Linked DNA regions of Drosophila melanogaster. The protein of the gene in region 3 purifies or fractionates together with the protein of the main gene of each other region. This does not show direct contact. Each region holds a gene or a part of one and is shown on either strand. Other genes may lie near its edges. The genes, in order: vanin-like, Synd and Hibch.

Region 1 (3,753 bases), on a different chromosome or scaffold from region 3:
CGATGAAATTTATCGATGATATTGCAACTGAATGTTTTTTTTTTATTTCTTGGAAGAGCATCCTGTTTTCCTTGTTGGGCGAATTAGATTTCTCTTTCAACCTTTTTGTGCCCCCTCCCCTTTCTTTGCATTCACCCACGTCGGCTTTTGTTGCTGTTTTTGTTGGGACCTCGTCTTAGCTTTTAACGTGTTTTACCGTTCGTTTCTTTTTGCGCATAAAATGAGCAGGTAACAGGCTTGTTGTGTGTGTGCGGGTGTGAGTGAGTGTGTGTGTGTGTGCGTGCACGGTTGAACTCCCATGGGTAAATTTTCGTATTTAAAATATATGACCAAGACATTTTCAAACATTATTTTTTAATTTTTTATTCCTTTTCATTTTTTTTTTTTGCCTTTTTCGTTCTCCTCAGCCTGCTTTGCAAACTTTTTGCGCACTTTTGCTTGCCGCAAATCAATTTGCCAGGACGGGAAATAAGTAGAGCGAAGTGGGGCTGAAAAGAAAGGAAGCGGAAAGGATTGCCGAGTAGACTTTGTTAGTGGAGTTCCCCCGAATTTATGCTGCATCCAACCGGAGAAGACGAACGCCTTTTTCCGGGGGCTTTGAGTCTGCAGTGGAGCGTATGGAAATGCATTAAGTTCCGAGATGACTGCACGTTTTGGGATTTGCGAATGGGATTATCTCGGCACGAAAAGAGATCTTTATACTTATAAATGCTGCTGCATATTTATGGCAACTGAATATACCCGATAATGCTTAAAAGTGGGGGCAATGTCGATGTCGACTCCGCAATCCCGTCGAGTACTTTGTGGCCCAAATTAGCCGGTGGATGGAGTTTGCCACCTATTTTCATGGCTGACGAATAACTTTGGATAGCAATTGATGGAAAAAATGCACAAAATATATAGACAAACCAGACCAAGTTTCGTAAACAAAACGGGTTTCAAAAAATATTTAACGCAATTAGCTTAGCTGTTGCCTATCAGACTCGAATTTAATTCAGTTAGTATGCAAGCAACAATAAAAAAAAAATCATTTCGCAAAACAATGAAATCTTGTCGACAAGTGTTATTTGCCACAATAGCTACAGGTAATTGCAGATAACATCGAAATGTGGAGATAACATCTTAGACAGCTATATAAATATAAATGTTCTGATAACTCGACAACAAATCGAAAATGTGTACGATAAAAATGGATCAATTTGGATATGTCCTTTAGATGCAGAGCACTCAGCTAGTTTGATCAGAACATTTATGACCAACACGTTTTAATAATAAATGCCATAAGAAAAGCCACCTGCCCTGTGGCATAAAAGAAAATCAAAGGAAACCTACTAACATTGGCAGCCCAACTCTTGCCATTTATTTATTTTGCCAATTGTGGTAATGGATGGTAAACATTTAATGGGCGCAAATAAAAGTCAATGTTGTAGTAAAAATCGAGACAAATCAATTGATAAAGATGTCGATCATATAGTATAGTGTCGAACGGAGAGACCATCGGACTTGGCTAGTCTGGGTTGTGGCGATAAGACAGCCGGCAAAATAGTTGGCCCAAGCGCAGCCAGTCCAATGTACAACGCAGCGAACCCACTAATCATGCTCACGGTTAGCGGACATGACTCCCGGAATAGAACAAAGCCAGAATAACCCATAAAAAAAAACCTTTGAAAATTAGCGATTCAACCAATCTTGAGCTGGCTATCTGGCCATTTTCTGGCTTTTTAAGGCAGAAATTCCACATCTTAATTAACTAAGGAATTGATGTAAATGTAATTCTAAAAAGCTTAAATTCCTAGTTCAATAGGGTAAAATATATATATCCTACTCTCTGTGATATTTACTTTAGTTTTAGGTTCATTATCACTGGTAGTATTGCACTGCGAATATTGGCAGCACTGAAAAGAGCGAACCATTCGATGTTCATAGACCAGACCCCAAAGATAAGATTAAGTAGTTCCCGGTAAATGGTGGTTACCACTTCGGTTGGCCACTATAAAAGCCTCGATGCCTGAAGTTGTGCCAGTCATTAGCGATTCTCAGGCTCCATACGAAATGTCGAATACCTGGTGGTGGCTTTCAGTAGTGTTACTAATCTTAGGGCTAATGCCTGGCATGAGTCAGCAGGTTGGGTTTCTAATTGGCAATTGGCAATTGGTGGATTAGTTTTGATGGTTAACATAATTTTCAGGCGGCCCTGGCCGAATCGGATTACTATACGGCCGGAGTGGTGGAGTTCAAACAGTCGATCTTAAGTCTATCGGCCTGGTCGGATTCCCTTGCTGGCTATGTGGAGATCATAAACTCTGAGAACGCCAGTGCCACCGACATCATTGTGTTTCCCGAGAGCACACTGAACTCCGCGGGTTCCACGACCTTTGTGCCCAATCCCGAGGATCAGATAAACCCGTGTTTGAGTGACCCCAATGCCACCTACTATGAGGAGTTTCTGGTGACCCTGTCGTGCGCGGCCCGCAATGCCAGTAAATACATTGTGATCAATCTGACCGAGAAGCAAAAGTGCGAGGATATTCCCGAGGATACGAGGCCATGTGCATCTAACGGACTGAATGTTTTCAACACCAATGTAGTGTTCGATCGTCAGGGAGTCGTGGTGTCCAGGTACCGAAAGGTTCATCTCTATGGTGAAGCAAAGAACAGCACTTTTCTGCCCGAGCTGATCACCTTCGAGACAGACTTTGGGGTCACCTTCGGTCATTTCATCTGCTTCGACATCCTGTTCTACACTCCCGCCCATCAACTCATCGTGGAGCAGGGTATTACGGACTTCGTGTATCCGGCCATGTGGTTCTCCCAACTGCCCTTCCTCACGGGTAAGATATAGACATGGGCGATAAGGAAAGCGGGGGCTAGTTCACTGACATGTGTCTCTTATCGCCGACAATGGATTGCTGATGATGGCTCTCGCAACCTCTCGAGATGGAGTGCCGGGAACCGATTATGCGTTGGTATCAAGGCTGTAAAAACTAAAATGCCACTAATGGCAGGTGATTAAGCAGCACAGCAATGGCTTGTAATTATAAACTAGGTCTTATCGCAGGAGCTATATATTAGAGTCCTGAATGAGTAGGTCAAAAAGTAAGCGTCTAGTTTGCACTGTATGAGCTTTATCTTTTTATGCTTGCCACGCGAATTCTTCGGAATAGTAAAACGAATAGGAAAATATTACATTTGTTAAATGTCTTATTCCACAGCTGTTCAGACGCAACAAGGTTGGGCCTATGCCAACGATGTGAATCTCCTGGCGTCTGGAGCCAGTCGTCCCTCCATTGGCAATAGTGGATCGGGCATCTATCACGGACGTTCCGGCACTTTGACCAGTGTCATGCGCCAGGACTCCGGCGAGAGGGCCATCTATGTGGCCCAGGTGCCCAAGTATACTCGCAGTAGATCCCTGAAGAAACGTGCGAAGAGGAGTCTACAGGAGATCCAAACCCGTCAGGTGGCCTCAAGCTCGAGTTTCTACATGAAGCGCGATTACGTGGAGAACTATGAGTCTGAGTTGCTCAAGTTGGACGAGGGAACTAGTGGTGCTATCAATAGAACCATCTGCCAGGGCAGCTTTTGCTGTAACTTCGACATAGCGTGGAGATCCTTGGGTACAGCGACGGAGAATGGTAGCTACTATAGCTATCGATTGGGAACCTACGATGGCTGGCGCAACGAGAACAATGTGGATGCCAATTACATACGTAATTGTGCGCTGTTCACCTGTTCTGGGGACTCCATCGATGA
Region 2 (3,753 bases), 5.5 Mb from region 3:
TCTCTTTTCATTGATGTTCGTAGTTGATAGGTGTATTGTTTAGTTACAACGAATTTTTGTAAAAAGACTAACTAGTTAATATTTAAATATATTTTATCTTTAAGGTTCATATTTGATATACATAGTTATTTGCTAATAAATTCCTATGTAAAAAACAAGAGAAATTGCGTAATTCAAATTAAATCCAACTCTTATAATATCTAAGTCGTATAATTTGTTTACAAACAACTTTATTTTGTTTACAACAAAATAAAAACTTATCCATTTGAAAAGCCGTTACTTAACGAATCGTGGTTACGGTCACACTACAGCGATCAGCTGTTGGCGACCGCACTATTTTGTTTATTCCATTTTGTTTGACCATGTCGGAAGCCGATGAAAAGTGTCACTTGTAAGTAGTTAACAAGTAATATTAATTATAGCGGTTCAATATATATTAATCTCCTGCAGCTGTCGCGAGGTGTCCTTCAAGTACACCTGTCCCAAGTGCAATGCTTTGTATTGCAGCGTGGGATGCTACAAGTCCAAGGAGCACCTTAAATGTTCCGAGGCTTTCTACAAGTCCTGCATTCAGGACGAGCTGACCCAAAACACGGTAACGCAGGAAAGCCAGGAGGACATGCGGAAAATATACGACATACTGAAGAGGATGAGAGAAACGGACAGTGGTTTCAATCCCCAGGAATTTGATACAGATGGCCTGGAAAATAGTTTGGACTCGGATGGAGGCGAGGAAGGAGAGTCAGAAGAAGATGAGGCGGAAGAAAACGTCACCGAGGGGGACATACTGGATGAAGACCTGGAGGAAGACATTGCAACTCGACTGAAAGGCGTTGATATCAACGATGCGGATGAAGTTTGGAGCCGGTTAACTACAGAGGAGCAAGATGAGTTCCAGAAATTGATCACCAATGGAGATATCATGAAGCTTATGCCAGACTACAAGCCCTGGTGGATCAAGCCGAAGAACTCTAAGATTGTGATTATACCTACACCCGAAGAAGCTGCCAAGAAAGAGAGCCGTGTTCCCGAAATTTTCGGGAGCATTGCCAAATTCTCCGATATATGCAAGAAAACTCCGTCTCCGTGCCTGCACTACAATTTGTGGAACATACTAAGCGCCTACGCCTGTGTGGCTCGTTTCTTTGGCGGCGAACAGAGGACCAATGCCAGCGAGGCAGTGGCCCACCTTGTCAATCTCAGCGCCACCTTAAAGTACGGCACCAACTTCGAGGATGCTGAGGACGCTATTGTCTCCGTAGAGATGGAAGCCATCACCACGGGTAATGGTCCTGCCGGCGCGGCTGCAGTTGGAAGTGCTGCAGGAGGTGCCAATTTCCTCGTCGACAACAGGGAGCAGCTGCAGCAGGATGCCCGCCAGTTGATGGCTACGAAGGAGCACAAGTTGGCCGCCCTTAGTGATGTTCTCTATCTGCTGCAGCAGACGAAGGCAATCAGTCGCCGTAAGAATACCCAGGAAGCCGAGTTCCAGAAGCTGTTCGCTTTGGCCAGCGGAAGTGTGCAATTGGATCGCACCAAACTGGCGCAACTGGTTCGCAAAATCGAGTTTATGCTGTCGTATGTGGCGCGGGAAGAAGTCCTTTAAGCAATCCTCTAAAATAAACATTTCAAAATAATTCTGTTTTTATATTGTCCACAAAATTTGGAGCGGTATTGACTATAGATTGATTGTTATTTTATTGTTTTATTTTACTTGGAATTTAAATACAACTATGTATAATTAGTGTACACATTTTGATTGGAAACTTCAGTATTTTAAGGACTTAAAGAACAAATTGGTTTAAGTAAAACTTGACTTTGTGCTAGTACTGTAACTAGTACTTAAAAATATGTACAGATGTCTTAAAAATAAATGTATATCCTAAATACATTTCGGTATTTTTGTATTCGTATGGAGCGGTATTTTCAGCTAGCCGCGAGGTGTATTTGAATGGTCGCGAAACGGTCACACCTCACATAGTTTTTTTAGTTGGCGATTCCAGACACACACTCGAGTTGTAGTGCTTTTTTACGCTATTTTGTTATTGGTAGGTTGTCGCCCTGCTTCGGTATGAACAAGTGCCAGAGACCCAAAGCCAAGGATTATTTAACAACCATTTAAATGCAGTGCAGCTGCAGCAGCAGCAACAACAAAAGCGATCGCAATTTAGAACAGAACATTTCATGTAAACGCGTTTGGGTGTAGCGGAATTTCGCTTCCCGTGTGTTTGTGTGACCTAGCCGAGCGTGTGTGCGTGTCGGTGTGCGTCTGGCAACAACAAAATCCAATCGGCCAGCAAGTGCTCTTCGTACGCTTCGCCTGCTAAAAATTAGTGCACAGCGAAAGCATTTTAATAGCAGCGCCCCAAGAAAACCTTATGTAAGGTGTGCTGGAAAACGATGCAAATATTTACAGTAGAAACGGTCGAGACAAGTTCAATCTCAAAGATAAACGAGTTTCTTGGTTGTTTGGCGGAGGGGGATTTCTTATCGCCTAAGTGTGCGACGTGTTGGTTTAGATGTGCATATACGTATGTGTGTGTGTGTGTGTGGCGCGAGTGCTTGTGAGAGCGCCGTAAAGGTGCTTATCTATCTCCACAAATATGCGAAGTATGCGTCAACCTGTTTGTAAACTTTCTGCTGGCCATTTCCACACGCAAAACACGAAAATCGCACTGAGCCGCGATCCTATATTTATATTTATAGCCGATGATGGGGAAAATCCGTAAGCGCATCGTGAGTCGATGACGCCCAAATCAAGTCAACCCAAGATACAAGATTCCACATTCAGCAGACCCAACATCACCAATCTACACATGTGTGTAGGTGATTAAACTTCAGCAGAGGTTATTATACATATATAAATAAGAAAGCATGTATATAACCGGTCAATGCTGCTGATAACATAACCGTTATTCACCATACGGGTGTGTGCGAGTGGAACTCAAACTGACTGCATTGTTTACAAACAGCTGATGCAGGGAAACTCCACTCCACTGATAAGATACCAAGATTTCCCATCGCCGAGTATGAAAAAATTTAGCTCGCTACACAGAGAGAATTGAAATGTTAAATGTTGTCACACGTAAGGGTCTCCAATACGATGTACACTGCTGCTCTTAGGTTAGACGCACAATCGTTTTTTTTTTAACAAAATCGATCATTTATTTGCATGCTTTTTTTAATTGTCCAAAATGCTTTTCTTATCAAAGTTTTCTGTTGGTCATTGAATTAGATGCAGCTTAAATTTCTTCGTATTGCGTGGACAAGTATAAACTGTTGTATTGAAAAAATATAACAAATAAACGAATAAAGTGTTTTCGAGCTACATTTGAAGAAAAAATGGGTAAAGCTGCTGCTTATTGGAACGTCAAAAAGTAGACTTCCTACACTCGCAAGGATTGCCTAATCGGAACATTGCCAAACAGATAAATCGCAGCTGCAGAACTGTTGATAGATATTTGAAGGTTCCAGAGGCATATGGGAATAACTTCAAAGGAAAGAAAAAAGCACTATCAAAGCAAGCAGAACGCCAAATTGTTAGAATTGCTTCGAATTCTAATTTTCGAATTTGTCCGGAGTAAAAACAAGCGTATCAACTGTTCAGCGTACAATCAGAAATGCAGAACACCTGAAGCGTGTATGTATATTAAATTTCAAATTCAATTTTTGGGATCTCATTTATCTGGGTTACAAAATATGGGTGCATGAGAATTCCCTTGATAAGATGAAACTATTACGGTGGAAAATGTA
Region 3 (3,753 bases):
CGTGCTCTAAGGCGTGTCTGTGGTGAAGTTGAAGAGTTGTTTGATTTAATAAAGATTAAAAAAGCGATAAAGATCTGTACTCACTTAAGCAAATAGGAAACAGAGGCGGGACCGTACCAATCGCCAGGTTTTTTACCCAAATGCTCCCCCAGCCGCACCAGGGCGTGGATGGAGAAGGGACTGCTTTTTGAGGAACTGTCCCCGAACCACTTGACGATCTTCTTATGCATATTGTCCTCGTAAGTCGAGTGCAACTGGGACTCTGAATCATAGCGCCAGCCTGAAGCATAAAGGTTTATTGGTAATCAAACATATTTGTGCGGGTTCATTTAACTTACTTCGCCCTAGGAAGTGACAGATGAGTCCTTGAGCGAAGAGCATCTGACCACTCCTTAGCATACAGCCCCAACCGCAGTCCGAGGTGTAGTTGGAGCCATTCATTATTGGGAACTCTCGACGGTAGGTCATCCAAATCCTACTGTAAAAGTCACGACGAAAGCCTTCGATGCCCTCCTCCCAAGGCTGTTCGCCCACTTGGTTCTCCACCGCGTCCATTCCCAGTTCCTGGGGCACCACAATCTCATCGATCTGCTGCGGATTAAGGGCTGGATACAAGGAGGTTGATGTCGATGTGGCCTGAATGCTGTCGAACGCCGATGTGGCGTTATCGGGGGTGGTATCCGCCCCGCTGGGCAGCTCGGTGATGGAACTTTCCATGCTTACGGGCGGAGTAAAGCGTCGATGATAGCACCGTCCTAGCAGCCACACGGGCTGCTCCTTTGAGAAGCTGGTCTGCCTCATCTTGCCGCTCCAGCCATACTTCACATTGTGCCACATTGCGACGAGCTTGGACTCCATGCCCTTGGTGGGAGTACGGTTTGCCGACAGGTCACCGGGTTCCTCGTTGTGCTGCTCCACGTGACCGCAGCTCGGACCGCTGTTGCCGCCGCCGTAGAGCTGACTGAAGGCGTTCATGAAACGTGATGACGTCGATATTTTGCGCTGCGGAGTCGCTGTCGCAGCGTTTTCCGTCTTGAGGTTCAGATTGGCACCTGATGTGCTTACGGGGGAGGGGGAAGGGACGCGTGGAACGGCGAATACAGTGCGATGAATCGTCTGTATGGGGGCCGCCTGCTCCTCCTCGATGGCGCCGTCCTCCACCAGCGGCAAGGAGAGCGGATCCGCATCCTGGCCGCATATCCGGCTACCCTCTACAATGGTCCCCTCGCCGGCGGCTTCGAAGAGCATCAGTTTTTCGTCGGTCAACTTGGAAAGGAGGCCGTCATAGTTCATCTGGTTGGTGGCCGTGGACGAGGACATGAAAACAGAGGCGGAAGTGGTAGAAGAGCTATGACGCTTTGTCCGCAGCTTGCGGAACTTAAAGAACTGCGGCATTGTAATCTTGGTGCGAGCCCCTTGCTGGCCCTGGCTTAACTGACAACCGACCACCGATTGCGTGCTAATTACAAATGTTTACTCACCGTTTATTTGTTGACAAAATAAGATAAAGTAACTCCACGAAATTTGTTTTTCTTATTCGCGAGAAGTACAATTGCCAATTTCAGTGTTGCCAGACTGCAAATCTGCTCTATTATGAATATGTAGGTAATGTGTGTTCTTTTTTACGTTTATCTACTAATGAGTTCAAAATGAATAGTGAATTTTGTTATCAACAGGTTTGTGTTAAACTATTTTTAAACAATTTGTATCTTTATCTAAAATTCTTATACATATAATATTTGAATTAATAAATTAAAAGGCGCCTGGTATAGGTCTGCCCTTGGCATGTCCATTTAATAGTAATATTTTACGCGGAAAACGATTTCTGGAACACCCTTATTTACTTCCGGCATGTGTGCGGTCTGGCAGCTCCGCGACAAGAATGACCAGCTGTGCGGGTGCTAAAATTCTATTGCGCAACGCTGAATTTCTAAACACTCGCTTCGCCCCACACACAACATTACTGACGACAGCCGCTCAAAATGGTAAGTAATGCAAATTCCTGCAAATAGAAGCGCTTAGCTAATCGAAAACAATTCGATGTCGCCGTCCAGCAGGGCCCAATTCAAAGGTTGGTGTACACATTTGGTCATCGCACCTGTAGCCAATTGCCGATGATCGGCGGAGCAACGATATCCCAAACAAAACCAACAACAATGGCTCTCTCCGTTCGCCAATCCTCCTCCTCCGTGCTGGCCACGGAGTCCTCTAACAAGGGAATGATTATTCTGAACCGGCCCAAGGCGCTTAACGCCATCAACTTGGAGATGGTACGCAAGATCTACAAGCACCTGAAGAAGTGCGAGAAGTCCAAGTCGCTGGTGATCATCAAGGGCACAGGTGACAAGGCCTTCTGCGCCGGTGGAGATGTGCGCGCTCTGGTCGAGGCTGGCCCTACGGATGAGTCGAAGAGCTTCTTCCGGGAGGAGTACAGCACGAATGCCCTGATCGGAAACTATAAGATTCCCTACATCGCCATCATTGACGGTATTACCATGGGCGGTGGCGTGGGTCTGAGTGTGCATGGCAAGTACCGGGTGGCCAGCGATCGGACACTGTTCGCCATGCCCGAGACGGCGATTGGCCTCTTCCCGGATGTGGGTGGATCATACTTCCTGCCTCGACTGCAGGGAAAGCTGGGCCTCTATCTGGGTCTCACAGGATATCGACTGCGCGGAGCCGATGTCTATTACTCAGGCATTGCTACGCACTACTGCGAGAGCAGCAAGATCCCTGATCTGGAGACGGCTCTCCTTAACTGCCCGGATGCGGATGATGTGCCTGAGCTGCTGCAGAAGTACCATTCCCCGCCAGAAAAGCCCTTCTCGCTGCAGCCTGTCCTGGAGCAGATCAACAAGAACTTTTCAGCGGACTCGGTGGAGGGGATTCTAGAGAATCTGCAGAACGATGGCAGTGAATGGGCCAAGAAGACGCTTGAGGTGAGTGGGGCACAGTTTACTAAGTGATAAGAACACAATCGGATGTTAATTGGCTGGGCCAATCATCGCTTGACGCGCGCTTTTAGCGCCTAAATATTTGATCCGTTTCCAGCCAATTAGCAACGCTTTAGTTGCTGCACGACTTTTCTTAACTGAATAAGTTACACTAGCTCACAAACTCACACCCCACACCTTGTTGCATTTTTCTATTAGAGTTGAATTTTATTATTGAAATCAGACACATTGCTTTTTTCTTTGTTTTAGACGCTCTCGAAGATGTCTCCCACCTCGATGAAGGTTACGTTCCGTCAGTTGGAGCTCGGATCACAGCTGTCGCTGGCTCAGTGTCTTATTATGGAATATCGTCTGGCCGTGCGTCATCTGGAGCGAAGTGATTTCAAGGAGGGAGTGCGCGCCCTACTCATCGACAAGGATCAGAAGCCCCAGTGGCAGCCAACCAAGCTGGCCGATGTCACTGAGGAACATGTGCAGTGGTTTTTCCGCAAGCTACCGGACACCGAGGAACTCAAGCTGTAATGTAGCAAGCTTAGTTTTGTTTTTGTTTGAGCCTTGGCATCCAATCCTGTTTGTCTTCCGTTGAGCCGCTCATTCTTATATGCACACAACTTAATATCTTTGTATATATCATTGCAAGCTTGAGTTATGTTATGCATGGTTCCTTGCCTGCCGTTTTGCAATATTCTTTATATATCTTTAGCGTTCTGTGGCCACAGTTTGATGAGTTCTGTCGGCTAATTTTCCGCAATCTCTTCTCTGTTTCATTCCAACAGCGAATAACTTCGAGGAAGAATCC

The links.
Region 1: the proteins of Hibch (region 3) and vanin-like purify together in Drosophila melanogaster (affinity purification with mass spectrometry, with the first as the bait; one large-scale study listed by BioGRID). This does not show direct contact.
Region 2: the proteins of Hibch (region 3) and Synd purify together in Drosophila melanogaster (affinity purification with mass spectrometry, with the first as the bait; one large-scale study listed by BioGRID). This does not show direct contact.

What each region holds. Positions count from the first base shown.
Region 1 is NC_004354.4:6,200,842-6,204,594, reverse strand, and holds the start of vanin-like (vanin-like), read left to right. Parts: upstream 1-2,035; 5' UTR 2,036-2,052; coding exon 2,053-2,124; intron 2,125-2,188; coding exon 2,189-2,831; intron 2,832-3,212; coding exon 3,213-3,753.
Region 2 is NT_033777.3:20,830,826-20,834,578, forward strand, and holds the start of Synd (syndapin), read left to right. Parts: upstream 1-1,973; 5' UTR 1,974-2,048; intron 2,049-3,571; exon of another isoform or gene 3,572-3,640; intron 3,641-3,753. Other genes in the region: CG31223 (uncharacterized protein), read left to right, coding at 363-391, 451-1,606.
Region 3 is NT_033777.3:15,355,336-15,359,088, forward strand, and holds the start of Hibch (3-hydroxyisobutyryl-CoA hydrolase), read left to right. Parts: upstream 1-1,893; 5' UTR 1,894-1,982; coding exon 1,983-1,985; intron 1,986-2,054; coding exon 2,055-2,939; intron 2,940-3,145; exon of another isoform or gene 3,146-3,203; coding exon 3,204-3,476; 3' UTR 3,477-3,753. Other genes in the region: Atg4b (Autophagy-related 4b), read right to left, coding at 1-17, 85-280, 339-1,293.